Alligator mississippiensis: one gene and its partner. Each later gene encodes a partner of the first gene's protein in a complex. Links are inferred from orthologs where the notes say so. Each region holds a gene or a part of one and is shown in the gene's direction. Other genes may lie near its edges. The genes, in order: SERPINC1 and F9.

Region 1 (11,109 bases):
CACTGAATTTCAGAAGCAGTTGATTCTTGTGATACAGATGGACAGTAGATTGGAGGAGAAAGGAGAACATATTTTATAAATATTTTTATAAAAACTTATGAATGGTGAGAGTTGTTTTATGCTGGGGAGCTCTCTGAACACTAAGCAAAGAGGATGGAACATCATTTGATCCCTCCCAGAGAAGTGCATGGAGAACCTGGCTCATCATCTGCCTATGCTGGACTTCCTTCCCAAGAGTCCCCCAGTAGTTTGAACTTTTAAAGCACTGTGCCCAAAATGTTTGGACATGGATGTATAAAGTCTAGCCATATAAATAATTGCCATTCTCCAGAGATTACTGAGTGCTTGCAGGTTCCCAGGAGGCTACTTGAGAAGTTCTCTGGGAGCTGCAAATGCCTGGGAGCTCTGAGAAGTGTGCATCTTTTATTTAGCCGTCTAGCTTCAGGCACTGAAGTCTGAACACTTTGGGCCCACAGGGGTCTGGCATTGTACAGGTTTTTTTGACATCTCGAGACAACCAGTTCTTTCTGGATATGGAATTTTTTGGCCAAAAGTAAAATATTTACAAAAATAAGTCTTGGGAAAATACAGGAAAAAAAAAAAAAGGATGCGATACAGTTTCCCTGAAGAGGAAAAAGTACTAGATATACTGAAATACATGTATGTTTAAAAACAATCCTGTGGAGTTATCTGATGTTTATGGTATAAACTAAAAATTGTTTTCTTTGTAATGTTAAAATAATTTTATTCATAATTTGTAGCAGACAGTACTCACAAGTCTTTGGCATCTGAACTGGATTGTGTACTGGATGGATCCCACAACTGGACGTGTGCACCAAGCTCCATTCTAGATTTTTATTAGGTGTGATGGAAACTTTCTGTGCATGCAAAAAGCAACTTGAGTAGGGAGAGGAGAGAGAACCCCATTCACAACACAGTTGATGCATTGTTTACAATTTATGCCATTGCTTTGCAGCCTCTCCTAAGTGCGAGCTGCTGCAATGTGGACAAAATAGCCCATTAAATGACTCTTAGCTTTTCTAATTTAAGGAGTTTCCATTTCCCTTTGGCCTGTGCTTGCCATGTAAGCAGCTTCTATGCTAAGAGGGGCTTTCCTTGAAGGCTAGCTTACCAGCTGCAGTATAGCTTGATTTTTTTTTTTCTTCTGTTTGTGGTAACTGGTAATAGTAATGTTATGAGCTAGTTCCTAGTTGTATTCAGCTCTGGGGAAGAGGAGAGAGGTGGCATGCAAGAGAACAGAGTTACAGGAGAAAACATGCATGCCAGCACTCATCCCCTCACTTTAAAAGTCACCTGTTTCCAGTTGTGGGATTTCTCTACAAAAGCTTGTTTTCTCTTTCTATGTAAACTTAGTTTTCTTTGATCTTTTTTGGGCTCATACCAGTCTCCCCGAGACATTCTGCAGTCATTATCACCTTTTTGGGTGGAGTTTATTTTATTTTTTTGGTTTGTTTGTTTGTTTTTTAAATAACTTTTAACATTGGTGCATATATGCTTGGGATAGAGCTCATGTAATTTTCCAATCGTATTGATTGTATGTGATTGTGCCCTGCAGAGGTATATTTAACAAAAACAATAAAAATAAAATAAAAAAGGATAGTCTAGGATAATAAAGGAGACCATGAGATTTGAGTCAGGTTATGAATGACTTCTTGAGTTTACTTAGGAATTTGTATAAATAAGGATCCCCATTTGCTGTTCTTATAAAACAGTACTGAACAAACTTTTTTTTTTTTTATTTCCCTCCTCTGTCTTTTGAAGTGATCCCTTTTGACTTTTTTTTTCTCCTTTCCTTCCATTTTCTTCCCATCATAAAAAGGGACAGCTAACTCTATTTACTGAATATTGTGAATATTTATTGTTCTTATCTCCCCAAACACAAGAAGAGTAGAGATTTAAATAAAAGGTGTGAGTGGAATTCCATAAATTGTGAATTCTTTGTGAGCACAGTAGAACATTGAAATCTCATGCATGAAGGCTGGCAGTGGAGGAGATCTTCAAAGGCATGTATGGCAGTTTTTGTATCTTTTGGAAAGTCCTTTTGAGATTACCGAAGGGGGAAACAACAGAGCCTGCTTTATCCTGCTCCAATGGCATTTTGATCCTCCAGTATTTGTGTTTAAACCTTAAGTAAAAACCGTTTTTCACACATTATGCTGAGGAGGGAGGGGATTGGCAGATGGAAAGGCAAGAAAGAGCTCTGGTCTTGAAAGTCATTGTTCCTTGTGATTTCTTTTTTTAAGTATAAGCCCAACACTATCATTTTGTGTTTTAAAAAAATTGTGCATGATTATATAGAAAATGCCATATGTGGAAAAACACCATATGTTGAAATGCTGTTTCTTCCCTCCTCTCTAACTTGCCTTCCTCCCTTTGGAAACTGACTCAGCCTCATGTTACTCCTGCATAGTGTTTAAGGCTCCTATGAGTTGCAGATAAAAAGGATTTATTTTAATTAGTAAAAAGGAGGTGATTCACCTTTCAGTCTGTAAATAGATGGAAGTGTCTACAAGGTCTTATCTGCTTTTCTGTCAGCATTTATATTAAATGATAAATTAATGGCTTACACATTTGAAATATCTCTCATTTTCTCTCTGGATTGCAGTGTGCATTGTGAGCCTCTTGAGTACAGATTTTTCTCCAGAGCAATATATAATCTTTCCTGACCACAGTGGAAAATTAAATGCCTGACAAAAGCACAGAAGCCTGTGTCCCCTTTTTAAAGTCCCCTTCCCTCCCCTACTCCCCCTTTCCTTCTCTGGTTGCTAAGACCTGAAAGCATGCTCAGTGCTAATTTAGTATGAATCCTTTCTTTTTCAATGAAGTGGTTTCCTTGGGCAAGAGGCATGTATATCCACCAGACATGAACAATAAAGTGATCTTTAAGTGGATCCTTTTATTACTTGTTCCAGAAGCCTGCACTTTTAAAAGGCCTGGGACAAACATACCACTTCAAGAAGCGCTGGAACATTTTACCTGTTACATTATGCTTTTTTAGAGTGAGGGGAGTTCTGGCCGCAAGCCTGTTGTGCATGTTTTGATATCCTCTTTTTCTCCTCGCCGTCCTCTTGTCCATTGTTGACATTAGATAGCCTCAGTTGAGTGCAAACTTCAGCCCTTTTGAAGTATGAGGAACATCAGTTGTGGAACAGGTAGCAGCTTCTTCACCAAAAGTTTTGCTTTGCCCACCCCTTCCCATTCAGGAAAAGTCAAGTGTGGCACCCTCAGTGTATGTTTGCCCCAAGATGACCATCTTCCTGTCTAATGTATAAGCTTCTTAACTATGGGGCCAGTCAGTATGGCTGCATTTAAGTTCTCTCACCATCCTGTTTGTTCATAGCCTTAATAACACTTGAGCTGTGTAAGCTCTTGTAGGATGAATAATGTTTACAGTGCAGCGCACAGTGTGGTCCTGTTTTCCCAAATAGTCTGTGAGCCCCAGAGTACTGCAAACACTGCAGTGGTCTGAAGAGTGTGTGCATTTGCACGTGCACTGTTTTCATATACTCCAAATCAGATGGTGAGTTTGTTTGGTCGCTTAGGAAGGCAGTGATGGCTGTTCTGAAAGATTGGCAGCTTTCATGTTTAAAATGCTTTTGACACTTGACTTAGTGGCAGTGAACATTTATTTCCCCCATTTTATGGGTGTAGAAATTAAGGCAGAAGATTTGATAGGGGCAAGGGTCTTATCAAGATGGGACCTATGTCACAGCAAACTAAACTTAGGAATCCAAGTCCTCTGCTGTAGGAACTGGGTCTGCCTACAATTCCCTGCAGATATCCAGCAAAATACACCTAAGGCATGAAACACCATTGAGCATGGCCACCATTTCTACAGCCTCCTCAGACAACCTTAGATGCCTTTTTCTTCCTTCTCTTCAAAAGGAATGACTGAAAGCCTTACAGGTACATTCAGATACTTTCTCCCAAATTCTTGAATGAACTGCAAGCCACCCAGACTAAATTGATCATGGCTCCACTGAAAGTTAACCCAGTTTTCAGATGTGGGGGTGAGGGGAGAACTACAGATACTACACTGCCTTAAAGACTACATTTCCCCCTCTTTGATATCACCAGGGCCAAGTGTACAGGGAACAGAAGGGTGGCCCTATGCAAAGCCTTGTGACACTGACTAGACTAGGCAATCCTAAGTGAATGGTATATGGACTTCCCAACTAACAAGAATGGTACTGGGAGAGACTTGCAACATCCTTCCCTTGGACTGAGCATAGAATAGACCTTAGTGGCAAATAATATGGCTGATACCTCTTGCTCTAAGCTACTAAAATACTAAGGACTGCAAAGATTGAAAATTTTGAGATGACTAGTGCAACAAAGCACCATTACCAACTTGAGGCTACATATTCCATCATGACAAAAATGTCTACTTGATCCACTGACCCAAACAGAACAACTAGTAATGTTTTATTGATGCATTTTTCATATTGGATGCTAAATCAGTGTCTCATCCAGGGATGCAAGTTTTGTGTTGATTCTCTGCCTCCATTTGCTATTTAAAAAAAAAAAAAAAAAAAAGTGCTAGGCACTTGCCACTTAAAAATAAAAAAAATCAGTTTTTGGGTAGAGCAGGGCCTGTATCTCATGGTCCCCTTGACTTAGAAGTTGCCCATGTATGTGTTACATGTGGTAGACTAAATTACTCCAAGTCTGTCTGGCCTGTGCACTGGAATTTTGGAGTCCTACAAAAATTCAGTAGCTTTGTTACAGTACTAGCACTGGATTTTGTATCTACCACCAATGATCTGACAACCACTGGAAGGAATCTGGACATTTTTGTGTATTCCAATATGTATTAAGTCCATCTTTTTTCCCTTTGCTGTAGGAGGGTTGGTTGGAAATTCCTCAGTCATACCAACCTCATTTCCTTGTCCAGTGGGAATCTTCATGTCCAGTGAATTCCCACTTGAAATGTGTGGAGAGGAGCCAAGATGCATTATTTTTTTATTTTTTTTGTTTTGGCTACACTAGAAATGTTTTAATTTGCTGCAGTCCTGATTAAAAGGTTTGCAATGGTCAGTGGAGACCACTAATGTTAAGGGTTCTTAGTCGGACCAGTCTTCTCTAAATCTTCAAGACCTGATGCTCAGCCTCTTGGAAAACTAATCTGGTAGCCCTTTGGAGCCCACTTTCTAGGTTACCTCCACTAAAGTAATCCAGCAAATAGCATAGCGCACCGCCTCTCCTGGGGGAGAGTTTTAAATCAGTGCATGTAAAAGGGTGATCTGTGAGTTGCTCACTTGCTTGACAGCATTATTCTAGTTTGTCTGGTTTTTTGCCAAGATCTCCCTTTTGGCAGGAATAAACACAACTGTGCTTCCTGAGACTGTGGTCTCTTACTTGCAAAACTGGGTGTGTTTCTGGTAGTATCTGGGGAAATAGCTTTTGTGGTTTTTTTGCTGGCCTTTGATGTGAAGACACTGCTGATTGCAGCACTGATACTGCATGGCAAAAATTGGGGCTGTTGTTAAATGATTTACTTCGGGGCGGTATTGGGGGTAGTGACTTCTCATCAGTCATTACCTTCAATGCTTACTGTTTTGTCAGTGACTTTTCCCAGTGTGTATCTACACACCCCTTAACTAATGCATGGCTTAACAGCCACTATTTTTCAGCTATGTGCTCTACAGAAAGTGACTGGGCCCAGTACAGAACCCAGTAGCACGGCATCTCATCAGCAAGAGAGGGATTTTTTTTTCTGGCGCTGACACTTGTGTACAACCCCAACCAAATGGCTCTTTTTTATTTTTCATGAAGTGGTGATTATGATGTTAAAATTACAGAGGAATTGCATCTGCAGTCATTAAGTTACATTTTTCAACACCCAGCTTTCATCAGTGCTGTTTGTGTGTAGCGGGGGGGGGGGGGGGGATCATTATCTTCAGCTTATTAGGTGCAAACTTGGGGACAGGAGCCTGTGAAGGCAAAGCATAGCAATCTTGCCTCTGGTTGTTTTGGGAGGAGTAGGGGAGAGAGTTACTATCCTGAGCTACAGAAGACCAAAATGTCTGGAGAAAGGTGTTTTCTAAATCTGCATTTGAATTATTGAACATTTCTCCCATTGTTTTATCAGCATAGGCTGGGGGGGGGGGGGGGGTAGCAGGCCTGCAGTTTGCCTAGAGAAGTTGATCAAACTTTCTCTCATCAGGTTGAACTTCAAAACTTCTCTTAAATTAAACATTGCTCAACCTTCCCTAGCTGGTCATCCACCTTTGACCCCTGACATCCCACTCTACCTCCTGCCCTCCTGCATTCCTTTTGAGCTCTGGCTAAGTGTACAAACTCAGTGTGGAAGCTAGTACGGACTAGTTTGGACTCCCTTTTATTTTCCCTGAGCTAAAGAAATCCTGTTTACTATCTTGTATCACATCCTCAAGGGAAAGCATTGGAGACACCAGAGGCAGGTAAGAGGACTTAAGTTCCAGTGATGTTTTTTTTGTTTGTTAACCTATCTCCACATGGATTCATTTCCCTTTGTGGGAACTTAGGAACCCCTCACCACTACTTGTATGTTTGTGAGAGTCCTGATTTCTTTGATGGTGTGTTTGATGCTGAGGCTCTCTTTTTGTAGGGTTCTGCCTGGATACCATAGATCTAGGTTGTCATGTCTTGCTTGCTAGAACATCTGCAAAATCTTGGTTTTGAGGAACCATTTCACAGAGTGGGAAGCAGTTCATGTATTAGGGATCCTTACAATTTTCTACTGGCTGATACTCACTTTTTTCTGCCTCACTTAAAGGACTTTCTGGGGGGGGAGGTCCTCCCTTTCTATAAAACATCCCAGAAAGTGAACTTCATACACCAATGGAAGCTCCTCAAATCAAAGCTTACTGGACTCAAGTAGCTCCCCTGGACATGGTCTGGAGAGAACTGTATACTGAGTCCAACAGGTCGTGCTTGCTAGCAAATTAGCCATAGATTTATGTTCAGAGTCGAGGGGGGTTTTTTGGTGATATATAGTTGGGAGAGCTGTTTCAGGCATCAGGTGCCCCTCCAGGTTGTCTAACAGCTCTCCCTACTATACTGTTGATCCAATAAAAGATGCAACAAAAAAGCCTAGTCTCTGTTTCCCGGACTGCCATGCTACAATAACCTTCCAACCCCCATAGGTTTATAACCCTAATGCCTGATGCCCTTTTGTTAGGAGAGAATAATGCTGAGCAAAAGTAACTATTACAGCAGTGGGAAGAGACTAATGTTTGCAGCCTGACTCTGGCACGTACCGTTTGGGGTTGGAGGGAAAAGGTTCTCATTATGCTTCATTCTGGGTGTTGACTTGCCCCTAGGATTCCTTTTACCAGAGACCCCCAAGGATTGACATGGCCCCTTATCCGATTTGGTATCAAGTGAACTTTTAATAGTAACCCCTAGACTTATTACAAGTATTCTTCCTTGCAATATGACCTGCCAAGCAGTTCATTCAGGCTTTACAGCAGTGACCTTTGGTGGTACCGGCCTCAGATCCTCTGCTGGGTGTGCGGGATGTTAGTTTCTGGATTCCTCGTTCAAACAAGAAGTCCAAAGTTGTTCCTATTTCCCCAGAGTGGCAACACAATACATGTGTGTTCCTTTGTTTGTCCATCACTTCTGTAACTACTCTCCTCCCAAATTGTCCAATCCCTTGGCTTCGTGCCAAGCATTCCTTATATGGTGCACCAGTCCCCTGGCACTGTGCTAGCCGCATTCCTTATAGGGAAACTGCTGTCCCTTGCTTGCCTGCTGCCCAGTCTCAGCCCTCACATCTCCCAGCACCACAGAAGGCCCTCTGTTCAATTGTGTTGCTTAGTTCTGGAAAGGCCTGGACTATGGCTAAAAGCCTTAGCATAACTCAGTTTCCCTGCTACATTGACTCTACTAAGCTTCCCTATTAATAATGCAGGAGACTGCCTGAAACTGCAATGTTGAGCTGACTCAGTAATTCACTGCCTTCCTCCAGGACTGGGTTAGAAAGAAAGAAAGCAGATTTAAAAAAGTTGTATGTACTTCATTCTCTTGCCAGAATCCAGTCAACATAAAAGCATTATATGCCTTTCTAAAACACTTAGTCCTGTAAGAATTTCAAAGCACTCTCTAACTTCTATATGCAGTGCAGTCTCTACAGGGATGGACTCTGCTCATCAAACAGCAATTAGCACATCAGTGGAAGAAGAAGGGATATACTTTGCCAAGCTTTCCAGGGCAGATTATTGTCTGAAGTGATCAGGGATCATTCACTGTACATGACAAATCTCACCTCTGGGAAAGATTTTTTTTCCCCTGAGGTTTCATCTGTATCAGGTGTTCACAATAGCTGAACAGCCACGTAGTACACACTTTGTAGTTATGATGTATGAAAGGCCAAGCTAAGTCAACCCTGCTGACACTCGAAAAGGTTCCTGGAAAGTGTCTAGGCATGAAATTATCTGCTTCCCCCCTCCCCCACCTCGGGTTTGAAATTAGTGGACGTTTTACCTCTCTTCTTCAGCGCTTCATCATCCCAAACCTTTAGCTAACATATATGATTCCATATATGCAACACAACCATGCAGGAGAACTTTGGGGAGGATTGAGAAACTTTTTCTCCCCCTAATCTACTCTATGCAGTTAATCCAATAAAAGATATTGCCCAAAGAAACGCTGGGTTAGGACAGCACTTTCCCCTATATCTGTTATTGAATTGCTGTTAATCATATGTGTTCTACATCTTGTGCAACAACTGGACACCAGGCACTGGGCCATTGTTTTGGCAAGCTCTGTTTTTGCTCTGGGACTCTAGCTTGACAGGTAGAAAACATCAAAGAAAGTCCAGACAGCCTATAGACAGACATATATATAGAACAATTCAAATTCTGCCTTTTTGAAAGCACTTTTTTTGCAGCATTTCAGTAGCATATCATTATACAGCTGCCTCCCAGTGATAGCATCACTGTGAAGCACTTCAGAGTTATTCCTGTTTCACTAAGAGTCATTTTATAGAGTTCTGACTAATTTATAGCACTATGACACAGAGTCATCTATCTGATCAATATCTATAGTGCCATATGGACATCTGTCCATACTTCAAGTTATACAACAGGCACCCTTTGTATAAAAGGAGAGGTGTGCAAGCCTTTCCAAAGGGAATTTGAATTTCCACCTTCATAGACAGCTGTTTGAGCTATGTATGTTATTTCACCACTGCAAGATATTTCTAGCTGCCTGTCCATCAGTCCCACTTCCAACATCTGGAAAGCCCAAACCAGGATAGCATCCTTGACATGGATTACCTTACTCCATAACCTAACCTGTAGGTAGAATTGAAATGAGAGGATGACACTGAGGAGCCTATTCGGAGTGATGGCTTCCAGAGCAGGGCTCCCACCTGGATTGTAACATTTCTTTCTGGTTTCAGGAGGATGCATCTCTTTGTGGTGTTGATCATCAGTATGTGGGGAGCAGTTGCTCCCCAGCAACATCGGGTGGAAGACATCTGTACCGCAAAGCCAAAGGACATTCCTGTGAATCCTATTTGCATTTACCGTAACCCTGAGAAGAAACCACAGGAGGGCGAAGGGCCAGAGGCAGATCAAGCCAAGGATAAGATCCCAGAATTTACTAACCGTCGGGTCTGGGAGTTGTCAAAGGCCAACTCCCGCTTTGCCGTTATTTTCTACAAGTACATGGCAGACTCCAAGAGTGACCAGGGAAACATCTTCATGTCGCCCCTCAGTATCTCCACAGCCTTTGCCATGACCAAGCTCGGTGCCTGTGGTGACACTCTCCAGCAGCTTATGGAGGTCAGTGGCATCTCCTCAGTTTCCAAGTCCTTGTGGTTTAAGTTAGAACAAAGATGCCAAATGCTAGCTGCTTATAATAAAGCTCTCTCTTTTAATGGCTCCTTTGCTCAGATCACCTCCTTTGTAACCCCAGCTTTTGAGAGACAGACCCTTCTGCTAAACAGGTCTCTGACAAGGACCCTTCTGGAGGATGACCCAGACTACTTCCCTCTGGGTTTCTGTAATCCAAACCCTTCTCCAGTGATCCAAGTAGATTCTTCTGGTGCACATGCTGATGCATAGGTTATAGCCTCCATCTGGAGGAGAAGAAACCTGCTTTGGATGTGAGGAAGGAAGGTGAATACTTTTTTCTTCTGGACCTAGGCAGTTAGATGAGCAGGGATAGGCCTCTACACAGGAAGCTGAGGGAAGCCAATCAGACCTTGGAGCAGGGTTTGTGCTAAAGGCCCCCTATTTCCACCATCCTTATGCAGAAGTCGAAGTGTGGGATGTTCTTATTGAAATAAGTGCAAAAATGCAGCTGGAACAATGCAGTCCCTGGTTTACGTGGGATGAGGAGGAAGGGATGGAACAGAGACCCCAGGCTGAACTTTTTGTTTAGACAAAAGCCCCATCAATAAATTAACAGCACTGGTTGTTCTTTGCAGGAGGCTCACCTCCTGACCTCCAGGACTTTGCAACAATGGGGAGATATGTAGTCCTTGTCTATCCTACCAACCCTTTCTGTACTAGCCACCATGTGACTTTTCTGCTTACTTACCTGTAATAATCCCACTGAATTTAACAGTGTAACTCCCACCGATGCCAGTGCTGCTGGACTAACCCTTTATAAGCATGTACACACAAGCAATCACTACATGGAATGGGCTGGCAAGATATGATCACTGTCCTGCTTTGTTGGAAACACGATTAGTAGCAACAACAAAAAGGGTGTTGGGCCTCCTCTTAAAGCCAGCTCCACAGGAGGCAGTCATCCCTCTGTGTGAAAAAAAGTTTGCTTTTAGCCTAGTGTCCTGGCATCAGCATCCAGTTACCTGCATGATTCCTCCCTTTGTTAGCTGTCCCATCATAGGGGCCAAGGACCAAGTGAAACACGGAGCTGCCCTTTTGCACCTGGAGCTGATCCTTCAGGTCAGAGTTGAGGCAATGCTGGCAAAGAAGCTTCCCCACTGCTTCCTGCTGTGTGGCTAGACAGGGGACTTTTGGTTCAGAAGGCTGCATCTGTGATACCTTCCACTGGTATATGATTCCCTTTAGAAGAAACTAAACTTTATTTGGTTTATTTTTTAAACCCAGTGTAGCTCAAATGATGAGG
Region 2 (10,898 bases), on another chromosome or scaffold:
TGTTATCCAAATATGGTTTGTTTGCTTCTCAGTTAATGAAAAGTTATATAGCATAGCTGTCCTAGAGGGCAAACGCAAATTGATTCATTTTTAACAAAAAAAAAGTGTTTAGCTAAAGAGCAATCTTTTAATAGGCTCTTCATTTCAGCAGGCTCTGTGCACATTTGATCAGTGTAGTCAAAACACAGCAGAAGAGCTAAGGATTAAAATGGAAATAATTCTCCTGTGCTGTCTTGTTATAACTTAATTTCTCTTTGCAATGGAGATGCACAGTGCAAGGCCCATTGCCTCAAAGAAGCAGCGACTCAGAGTTGAGTGCAATTGTGCATTGCTGCTCGTCAAGATAATTGTTCCCATCGCTCACTAGCATTTCTCAGAGGGCAAGGTGTACATTCCTAGAACATCAAATCCAATATATCAGCCCAAGACCTGCCCTCACCAACAACTGTGCAGGCAAATTCAAGACAGAATATTATGGGTATAGCTGGGTCACAGCCCTGAGATCTGTTCTACTCCCACCGAAGTTAACTGGATGAACTCCTGTGGAGTCCACTGCTCCTTTCCTTCCTCAGCTGCAATTCCACTGTGGTCAATCAAACAACACTAGAGAGAGACTGCTCTGGGTATGAAGAGACCCAGACCCATTTTCCTTACTAGCTGCCAGAAAAGACCTTGTGAAGGTAGTCAAAATCTAGCTCATGAATGGCACAGAACATTGGTTGGAAAATGAAGAGTTATTACAAGGCAGTCAGCAAACATGGTCCACTCCTTCACCCAGAACTTCAGCTAGGAGAAGAACACTGTCTCAGGGGCTTAATTCCCCCCAGGTAAGCCTCATAGGTGGGTATCTGATAAAGCAGGGATGGGATTTTCAAGTTTTGCTACCCAGCAGGTCCCTCGGGTTATATTATGCCATTTTTTTGGAATCACTCAGTGACCAACATGAGCTCTGCTGCAAGTCTAGCTTCAATTTTTGATGACGACTCCACCTTTCTGAAGAAAATTGTGGCCTTACAATTTTTTCCAACAGGACTGAACCCCTATGCTCTCTTCCTGCAATGGGGAAGTCTTCTACCGACAGGAAAGGGAAAATTCAAGGAAGCCAAGTTGCCATGGAGGCTAGCAAGGTTGCAATGGTCACTGGTGGCATAGTGGAAATACAGGCACACATTCATAGATGTTAGGGGCTGGAAGGGACCTTGCATTGTCCAGCCCCCCTGCACTAGGCAGGGGATACAACTGGGGTCAGATGCCACAAATTTCCTGGGATTTCTAAGTTGAGGGGGTCAATATTCCTTCCTATTGCATTCATGCCTGGGGAAAGCCCTCTTCACCTTAGTTTCATCTCCATCCAGTGTGAACTCCACAGGGGAAATCCTGACCTGCTGGAAATCAATGACAAAAAACTTTTGTGGACTTCCCAGCAGCCAGGATTTCCCTCTACAGGTAGAAGAGGGACTCACATGGATGAATATGGCCCCTTAACTATAGAGATTGCACTTTCTTCTCTTCCACATCCTAATGACTTTCAGCACACACATCCGTCTCTGAACTCTCAACGGGAATTCAGAGAGGGATGTATACAATACGGTTTGTATACTTTAAAGCAATGTTTCTCAACCTTTGGGTTGCAACCCAAATACATGGAAGGGTCATGAACAAACTTTAAAAATGGATTCTCCTTTAAAAAGGAGAAAATTGTGAGAAACTGCAGGTTTTCCTTATAGGCTGGCAGAGCTCCAGCCTGCAAGGGGCTGCTTGGGGACCCCTTACGCCCCGTGCACCCACTCCCTGCCCAACACAGTGGGGAGCTGGGGCAGGGGGCTGCAGGCTGGGAGTGAGGGGCACCAGGTCAGGACTGGTCATTGATGTTTACAAATGGGTCCTGGTACAAAAAAGGTTGAGAAGCACTCTTTAAAAAAGGAATACAACAGATTCCAACACAGATCTTGAATAAAGTAGACTTTAATCACAAAAGTCAAATCTGCAAAATCCCTGAATGTCTAAAATAGTAGTAGGAAGCAAGCAGATATCAAGAGGACTTAGATAAGGTATGTTACGACATTAAGGAAGCCCATTGAAACTAGTCTGGGTGAGAACATCGCAGACCAAATAGTTTTCCATCAAAATACGCTATTACTTCAGCAGTGCCAAAACATTTCTGCGAGACTTCAATTCCAACAGCCGTTGACAAGACTGTTTCGGAGGACTGGTCAGTCCCAGTGAGAGCTCCAAATAGCAAGCCTGACCTTTTCAATCTGAAAATGGGCTTGACAACCAAGTTGCATTTTGCAAAAAACAGTGGAAAGTTGTTGATGTGCCAAGGAAAAGCCCAAGTAGGAAACAGATTTATTCAGCCAGCTCTAACAAGTTCCAAGAACGCAGTACTTAATTTTGAATTTTAAGTAGTCCCCCTTTGAGAACGTTAATATTATAAATCTGAATTAAGCTGGATCAATATTTAATTTCGGTAATCCAACATCACAACAATACTTTCTTCTCCAAAGCATTTATTGAGGGCTGATCCCAGCACTGGGAACTGTTTGCAACAGAAACACAGAGGAAACTCTTTGTTAGCATTGGATACCACAAAGATGGAGAGCGGTAGCAGCAGGCTCTAGGCTTGGACATATTAATGGCCTTGTTTGTTCCAATTGTGCAGGCATTTTCTTTTAGATTAAATAGCATTAATGTTGCAGATCTTGCTAGCACCATAAAAAACAGAAATAATTTACCTGTCCTGTGCTGTTGTGAAAAAAAATGCTGTAGAATGATAATCTAATTTTGCTTGGTTTGTTAAAGCAGGCTACTCTCCACTTTCCTTTTATTGATCCAAGGCATATTATTTCACTATTTCATACCAGTTTGCTTCTTTCCCCGCCTCCCCCCATCACATTCACATGTATTCATATGCAAGAAATGAGAAATGGCCTTTACCCTCTACTTTGCATTGCATTTCCATCACAACGGTACAAGTGCATAGTTACTCCAAGGTAGCTTCATCGCAGATACATGAACGCATCTTTCCTCCTCTACCTACAGTAGCAAATCTGTAACACTCCCTCTGAAACGGCGTGCCTGCGGCAAATGCAAACTATTTCAGATACTGTAAAACAAAGCAAGATAAAAATGTTGCCTTTCAAAAATAAAGAAAGGATTCCTTTTTTCTTGGCAAAGCATAAGAGAGCTTATAAACCCATAGCTCAAGTGGAGGCCTCTTGTTTTAATCTGCCATTTATCAGTCCTTTCTTTGTACAAAAAGTGATTCCCAAACACCTACACAACCATAAATGTCCCTCATATGCTTGGGGAAGGACCATTTGTTACATTTTGCAGGCACCGTGAACAGAATTTATGATTTGTTAGCTCAAACACATACTTTTCCAGACACTCGAGAGGCAAAGTCTCAAAGCAAGTAACGGCCCATTCTCTACCCTGCAGGATACAAGCTGATCCAATACTTTACATATTTCGTTTCATACTGAATCAAGCTGGCTGCTTGTAAGCACTCATGGGGTGAAACATGCTGCAGGATTATATTGTGGTGTCAAAAATAAAATATCCATCTCTTCTGGAAACCCCCCCCCCCCAAAAAAAACAACAAAAACAGTGAAGCCTGTTAAATCCCCTCTTCAAGCTCCTCTCCTTTTATAAATCATCAGATGATGAGCTTCAGTCCACTATCATCACTTAGCTCTTCCCGTCTCAAGTAAAGGATATGACAATTACACAATAATTTATCCCAGTTTTTACTGAACGGCAAACTTTACTTGATAGAAAGGATCACACACAAAGCTCTCTCCCAAGCTGTAGGGACTATTACACTGCCTGGCAACTAGGTGATAACCCTGGGATCAAACTGACCGAGGCTAAAAAAAGACCTTGGTTATCCTGGGTCCGACTGTCCCGAGCTTTGACTTGCATCAATACAGGCAAGGGCCGGTCATGACATGCATGGCAATTAACTCAAATCAACTGAATTAATTGAATGGCAGCTAACTCAAATTACTCCCTCCACCCTTGTCCAAAAGGTGCAAAGACAAAAGAAGAGGGGTGTTCCTTGTACCCACAACCAAGGCTGGGTTTCAAAGCTGGTATCTCGGTAGATAAAAGTAGGCAACTGTCTGCCAGTCCTCTGGATCATGGTGTATGTGTAAGCAGTCTAGTTGGATGCCCGATGTATCTGCTCGTATGGAGTCCTGTGGCCACCACACCAAGACCTTTGATGCGTATGCCTAGGCAAGAGTATGGAGGTTGCCCATCTCTCCTTTAGACCTTAGAGACGGAGCCCAAAGGCAAGATTGAGTCCAGATGTTCAGTGCCTTGATGGTTGTACCTTCTGCCAGACAGCAACAGATAAGAACTGCTGCCGACTGCCTAATTCCTCAGTGAGGACATGTTTCTGGCAGGATGACATCCCTTAACCTTTCTCCAACCAAGGAGCACCCACAAGGCAGTGGGGGCTAGGACCACTTCAGTGAACAGTGCTGGCAGAGGAGATAAGGTGAATAGTGCCAGGGTTAGGAACCATTTACAGAATAACAGTCCCCCTTCCACCTCCAGCCCTGCCCCATCTATCCCTGCCTTTCGGCCGTCTTCTTCAGGGACTGCATCACGTGCCTCAAACCCTAGCTGGACCAGGTTCATTGAGAGCCCCATTATGTTGTTCTGGGGTGAAATCCTGGCCCCGCTGATGCCAGTTCAGATGTTGCCAATGCTTTCCAGGGGGCCAGCTCTCATCTGGATGGGCCAAGTATCACCCTTTGTTTCACATGGTCAAGTGAACCTTGCTCTGCCTGGTTGACTGAAGCGATCGCATATTCCTCTGGCCTGGGCTCAGTTTCATGCGCTTGCTTCACAGCATGTTTCCAAAATACGCATTTCATTTCCATGTACTGCTAGCAACACCACGAACACAGAGATCAAGCTATTCAAATAAACCTAGTCGTTTAGGCTAGGGACAGAAGTTACACATAAACCAGTATAAGTGATCAGAAACCGGTTCCAATCTGTAACTCAACAGAAGTTCAGTGCACATGAACTGCTTTCATAATGGCTGAAACTGGTTTATGATAAACCAGGAGAGATGTAGTATCAGACTGAACCAATTTAGGTTAAATTGGTTTATTGAATGTCTGTTCCCGATCTTACTGGAGCCGGATTCACTACACCCGATGTGAACTATTTTTCTTCTTCAAGCCAGTCTCAGTCCCCTCCCCAGCAGGGACCATCCCAAAGGAGAAACAACGGAAATGCTACAAGAAACCTATTCAGAGCAAGCTTGCTGTGGTTGCTCCTCATTTCGAGACCCCTCTGCCATTTCAGAGTCCTCACCTGACGCATGTGTGGGAACCTTAAATTAAAGGGTTACTCAAAGCAAGCAAACAAGCGCTTGCACTTTGGACCGGATCGACCCAGCCTCTCTGTGTGCACAAGTTCCTAGCAGAAAGGGTTGCGTTGTGCAAGACAAAAAAAATGGCAAAACTCACTCTCTCAGTCTCCGTTTGTCTTCTGGGATTGTTTCTTCAGGCTGAATGTTCAGGTTGGTTGTTTTAAACCTACCAAGTCCTTTGCTTTTTTTTTTTTTTTCTTTCTTTTGCTGCTGACATAGATAAAAGCACATTGTGTCATTTGATAAGGGAGAGTTTACCAGCAATAAGAAATTGCGGAGTCAGGCTGCTGAATTTGATTGGTTTTCCATTTCAAAATGCAGCTCTTGAGAACAAAAAAAATTGGATTTTTTTTTTTTTTTATGGTGATGAAATTAAGCCCTTGGGTCCTTTTTACTTAAAGAATGGGACATTCCAAGCACCATTATGACTTTGTGCTAAGGAATTGCTCTAGATTCAGTCATTTTTAATACTAATGAAAAAAAAAAAGAGATTTACAAATTAGCTTCCAAACCCTTTGTGTATTTGAATCTGGGAACGAACAGACTGAGTAATACTGAAGCATATAAAATACTCATTGGATTTCCTGTTTGAAGGTTGTTAAATGCCACATGCAGACCAAATTAAGAAGCGAAAAAGAAGGGCAAGTGGTGTTTGTTAAGCGGTTCCGACGACTAACCATATTACCCTGAGCTGGTATCCAGTTCTGCATGATCTAAATTACTTGAATTAATGCACATTCAAATCAGAGGAAGGTGTTTGGTTCCTACAAGGATAGCCTTTTTGTTCAGAGCTCAGCAGGGTTCCTGAGAATGAATGCAACTGGAGTAAATACATGGGGAGTCTGCTACAGCATCTCTCATTTGGGAGTAGAAACTCTACCAACAGCATTGGTTGTTGAAAAATTCTACTTTAATCTGTTTTTTGGGTTTTTTTTTTTTAAACTAAGCAAAACCCCTATCATTGCTTTAACAGGAACTCCAACTCTCCCAGGCATTCAAAAGTAGTGAGTTGCTTTAAACAATCAAGAAACAAAACTTTCCTATGAGCCATCATTGTACAGGGTGGATCAAGGCCAAATATTTCGGCTCCAAACCTAGTTATCAAAGGGGAACCTATAGGTCAAAAACTCTTCAGAAAGGCCTGGGGAGACGCACGAATGGGCACAATCCTGCTTCCTTTTGAGAGGTACAGACTATGAAGGAAGATAAGAGAGAGAGGGAGACCAAGCCCCTGATGTTGGGGGGCAGCAGGCTGTTCAGACAACCCAGAATTGATGGGTGGTCCTGTTTTATGGCTGTAAACGGTGTAGCAGGCAGAGCCAGAGGAGAGAGACCTTTACTGAGTGCTGGCTAGATTGCTTCTGGTACGTGAGCTCCCTTGCATATCCCTACCCTGCATTAAACTCTGCAGCATAGACATACCCCAGCATGTTTGCTAGAAACCTAACTGCCCCCTTGTATTCCTTAATCGGCAGGCATCCCACCAACCAAGGTCCCTCATGAAACCCGGCCCCCTTTCTGCAATCCCATGCATTCATTCCAAGACTTGCATGATGTCCTTTCCACCTGCCCCCTCTCCCTCCCCATGGGCTTGGTTTAGCCAGGGAATGTGTCAGTAATAGTGAAAGGGTTGAGCAACGAGCATGATCTTATAAAAATGTCGGTGTTGATAGTGAGCATAGGCAAGAGAACTGTTGGGCCAAAGAGCAGACTTCCCTACTAGGAAGAAGGATGCACCATCTGGCAGCTGCTGGGCAGGACAGGAAGACAGGAGAGCGGGGATCTGTTTCACCTGAGTGACTGAACGCCTCTCTTTCCCATACTGCAATGTTGAATTGAGGCTAGGTTAACCCAAATTGCCTTTGCATTTGGAGTACGAGCTGGTCAAGAGTTACACAAATCAACGGTCAAAACTTCAGCTCCAAGAAAAGAAGCGAACTACTTTTCGATCCTTCTCCCAAATGCAAAGAGCCGTTGCTATCAGAAGGTTACTAGCCAAAGAGGCACAATTCTCTGGTAGCTATGAAACTGGCTGCTTCGAAGAACAATTTGTTGCTCTATTAATATCCAAGGTCACATGCTTCCATCAAGATCAATTTTTTAATGCTCGCTGTGCCCATTTTGATGTTTTCAGTTGAAAGCAAGTATCGGTGCAAGAAATGAGAGAGTAACCTTGTATGAACTAAGTTTAAGTAATAAGAACAACTGGGACTGCCACTTGCAGGAAGTTACATGGTACGAATCCAGAATACTTCCACTGGAGTTCACTGCAGTTATTTCTAGAGTAAGATGTTAGCTGAGTTAACGGGAGTTTTTTCCGGCATGATTTCCAAGGGCTTTGGATCAACTCCACTCTGCTGATCTCATTTAGAGCCTAACAGCCACTCTTTGAAGTCTCCTCCTGCTTCTCTCACCGAGCTTCTTCTCTTCAACTCTCCAATGGCGCAGAATATTCATGCAAAAATCTGTTCTAGCACAAACCTTTTATGTAGACAAGAAAGTACATGAAAATGTTGAACCGTAGATATAATGACCAACTTCCACGCTACGTAGAGCTGCTCTACAGTACCTTCCAGCGACAGTGAGAGGCTCTAAGGGCTTTCCCTGTACATCTGTTATTAGTAACAAGGAGGAGCCTTGAGAATCGGACTGCAAAGTACTTGATCAACAACTTGCTCTCGTTTAGTAACAGCTGTTAACACACAAAGAGGTCATACATGCCGGAGGTAGGGATAGTCATGGTAAAATAGTTCCCTGGTGGTTAGTACTTTGGAAAAATTGGTCAAGAGAGCCATAGTTAGCCATGTTAGTCTGAAGTCAAGTTGAAGGTAGGACAGACTTGTACCTTAGATGAACCAAAGTGGATATATCTCTACTTCAGCTCACAAAAGCTTGTGCTATATATCATCTAGTTTGAGTAGTCCAAGGTGCAAATCTACTCTGCCTTCAAAAAATGGTCAGGGACAGTGTTTGGATGGAAAGGACTTTCACTTGGTCTAAAAACAAGTTGTATTCCTTTGGCTCCATTACACCATAATTATACCAGTATAAAAATGTGATCGTAATAGTATGGCTTATCCCATACAGGAAGATAAATAAGCCTTATTGACTTGAGTTTGTCATGAGATGTTTGGTTTTTTTTCCTTCCAATGGTGTACTCCTGGTCTGTGCCCTTATGTTACAATTACTATGGCTATATCTCAGAGCTCAGAACAGACCCAAAGAAAGGACTCAAAGCTCAGAACAGACCCAGAGTTATGGTAAAAGCCCTCTTCCTGAATATGTAATTACAATTTCCCTAAGCTAGGGAAGAGAATGTATCATAATGTATTTTTTTATATTGTAGTTTTTATCGATAACCAACAAGCAAGCTCAGTTTTGCCTAGGCAAAAGAGGTTCAATTCCAAAAGGCTGGAGGAGGTTGTTTCAGGGAACCTCGAGAGGGAATGCATCGAAGAAAAATGCAGTTATGAAGAAGCACGAGAAGTTTTCGAAAACGAGGAAAAGACGGTGAGTATTGTTACTGCAGAGCAACAGAAACATCACTTCTGTCCTGCTAGTCGTGGTGAGGGTAGTGCAGGGGAAGGAGAAGGTGTACTTCCCTTCGTATGGGAGAAAAACCCATATATTTTCTAAAAGCCGCCATTTGCCTCTGTATGAAAAATATTGGCTGCCCTTATGCCCACTTGAGTCTTATCTAAGCCTTTATAGCTAAGCTGGTCCCTTTCATTAGGGGGATTTCTGCCCTCAAAGATTTTACCTGCTAGTCCTTTATCCTCTTTATTCATTCTGTAGTTCAGTTTTGAAAAGAAAAAAAAAGAAACAATGAGATTAATAATATTGTTTTTTCTTTGTAGATGGAGTTTTGGAAAGGGTACCTTGGTAAGAAATTTGCTTCTTTCACATTTTAAAACCTAGTCGTTCTATAATCATGTCTCAGCATATGCCCAGGTCACAAGAGAGACAGATGTCCTTTGAAAGAACATTTCCTATTGTTTGAAACCCAGCTTCCATTAGAACCAGTCAGCGTTCTTCATGCCAAGTATAACGAGTTGGCATTTGTGTGTCCTGTTTACAGATAAAACCCAAAATAAGAACAGGTTGCAAAAGGCTCTATAGAGGAAGACTCTTCCACAGACTATTTCCTGTTCATTTGGTGCAACCGGTCAGGTAGCAGGCTGCAAGTTTTAGCCATCTGGCTGGGATAGAAGATGTGAACACAGCGGGTAGCCAATAGCAAAAGCCCTCTTTCACGTGCAAATAGCCACTCACTAAATGTGCATGTGAGCACAGCACAATTGCTAGAAAACAGCTTATTAAAAAAAGAGCTTGACTGTTCAAAGCAAACAGCAGCCTGAAATTCAAACTAGTGTCCACAAACTTGGACATTTTTTTTTTACACTTCATTTTTTACTGATGATCTATTTCTTCACTCCTTGGTCTCCATCCACAAACTACCCCAATAATCCCTACTCCTCCACCCACAAAAAAGGTTTCAGTGCACACTAAACATCTGAAACTAATTTTAACAAGATATGCTTTAGCAAACGAGTTTCTTTGTAGATTGGCTGAGCTCCCAGAACATCTCACTAAAAAAAGTCTTAAATAATTCAGATTAGTCTGTCCAGACTATAAAATAAAAAGTTACATTTGCATTTTAAGATTGTCCTCTGGAAAAAAAAAAAAATGGTGGTACTATAACTTGGCTGCCATGGTTTCTTTCCTTAGAGCTGAAGAGTCACCTTTCCAAAAAGCATCTCCTCCATTTAACAATGGACACCTCTTTTTGCTAAACTCACAAGGTGCCATTAGCAGTATCGTAGCCTGTAGATGAAATTTGCTCCTTGCAAAAGGGTAGCTCAAGACCATGCGATCATGTAAGCCCCTTTTTGAAGCTATAGGAGATAGCTGTCTTTTAGTGACAGGTGGTCAACATCTTCAATCCTTGATCAACGCATGCTGCAGTGTAAACTGCTCCAATGAACTTGTAGAATCCGACCTATTTTTGCCACCGGTTTGTTAGAGCAGGTAACACTGCTTTGGTTTAACTGCCCTAGCAACAAGGCAACAAAAATTCAGTCCCTAGTGCCCAAGCTGGACATAATTACATTTTGCCCCTACTCACTTTGTCATCTCCCTTCTACCTGCCCATTCTAAAGCTGCATTAACAGCTGAATTTGCTGATGCGATGTGAATACCATTCTTCTTTCCCCTTGGGCCTTGGCTATTTGTAACAAGGCTCCACTCCAGGGGTGGTCATTGATGCCCATGGACCCCGCCTCAGCCCTTATCAACTTCACTCTCTTTGGGCAAACACTCCTTCTCTCTCCTGCCATGCCTTGATGTACGCATCTTTCAGATACAGGAAGGCTGCCCCAAGGCTTCCCAACTTTGATCTTGGGAACTTGGGTGTCTCCACTCTCCACTTTAAGGGTTAATTATGTGGCTTTGACCACCCTTTATACCATGCCCATGCCTCACAGATGATGCTCATTCCAGCTAGCAC

Evidence for each region.
Region 2: the proteins of SERPINC1 (region 1) and F9 are in contact, whole or in part, in a crystal structure (PDB 3KCG), measured with the Homo sapiens proteins. The link is inferred for Alligator mississippiensis from reciprocal best matches to the Homo sapiens genes SERPINC1 and F9. Residues at the interface, in NP_000479.1 of Homo sapiens: Glu264, Asn265, Arg267, Glu269, Met283, Met284, Tyr285, Glu287, Met347, Val349, His351, Val420, Val421, Ile422, Ala423, Gly424, Arg425, Ser426, Leu427, Asn428, Pro429, Asn430, Arg431; in NP_000124.1 of Homo sapiens: Lys247, Val248, Asp249, Ala250, Phe251, Cys252, His267, Cys268, Glu270, Glu285, Tyr312, Arg358, Phe360, Lys362, Gly363, Arg364, Ser365, Leu367, Lys387, Phe388, Asp405, Ser406, Cys407, Gln408, Gly409, Asp410, Ile429, Ser430, Trp431, Gly432.

Annotation. Positions count from the first base shown.
Region 1 is NC_081828.1:47,939,501-47,950,609, reverse strand, and holds the start of SERPINC1 (antithrombin-III), read left to right. Parts: upstream 1-6,189; 5' UTR 6,190-6,443; intron 6,444-9,409; 5' UTR 9,410-9,413; coding exon 9,414-9,794; intron 9,795-11,109. UniProt on the Homo sapiens protein: Most important serine protease inhibitor in plasma that regulates the blood coagulation cascade. AT-III inhibits thrombin, matriptase-3/TMPRSS7, as well as factors IXa, Xa and XIa. Its inhibitory activity is greatly enhanced in the presence of heparin.
Region 2 is NC_081831.1:78,787,723-78,798,620, reverse strand, and holds the start of F9 (coagulation factor IX), read left to right. Parts: upstream 1-5,449; 5' UTR 5,450-5,475; coding exon 5,476-5,542; intron 5,543-8,738; coding exon 8,739-8,902; intron 8,903-9,249; coding exon 9,250-9,274; intron 9,275-10,898. UniProt on the Homo sapiens protein: Factor IX is a vitamin K-dependent plasma protein that participates in the intrinsic pathway of blood coagulation by converting factor X to its active form in the presence of Ca(2+) ions, phospholipids, and factor VIIIa.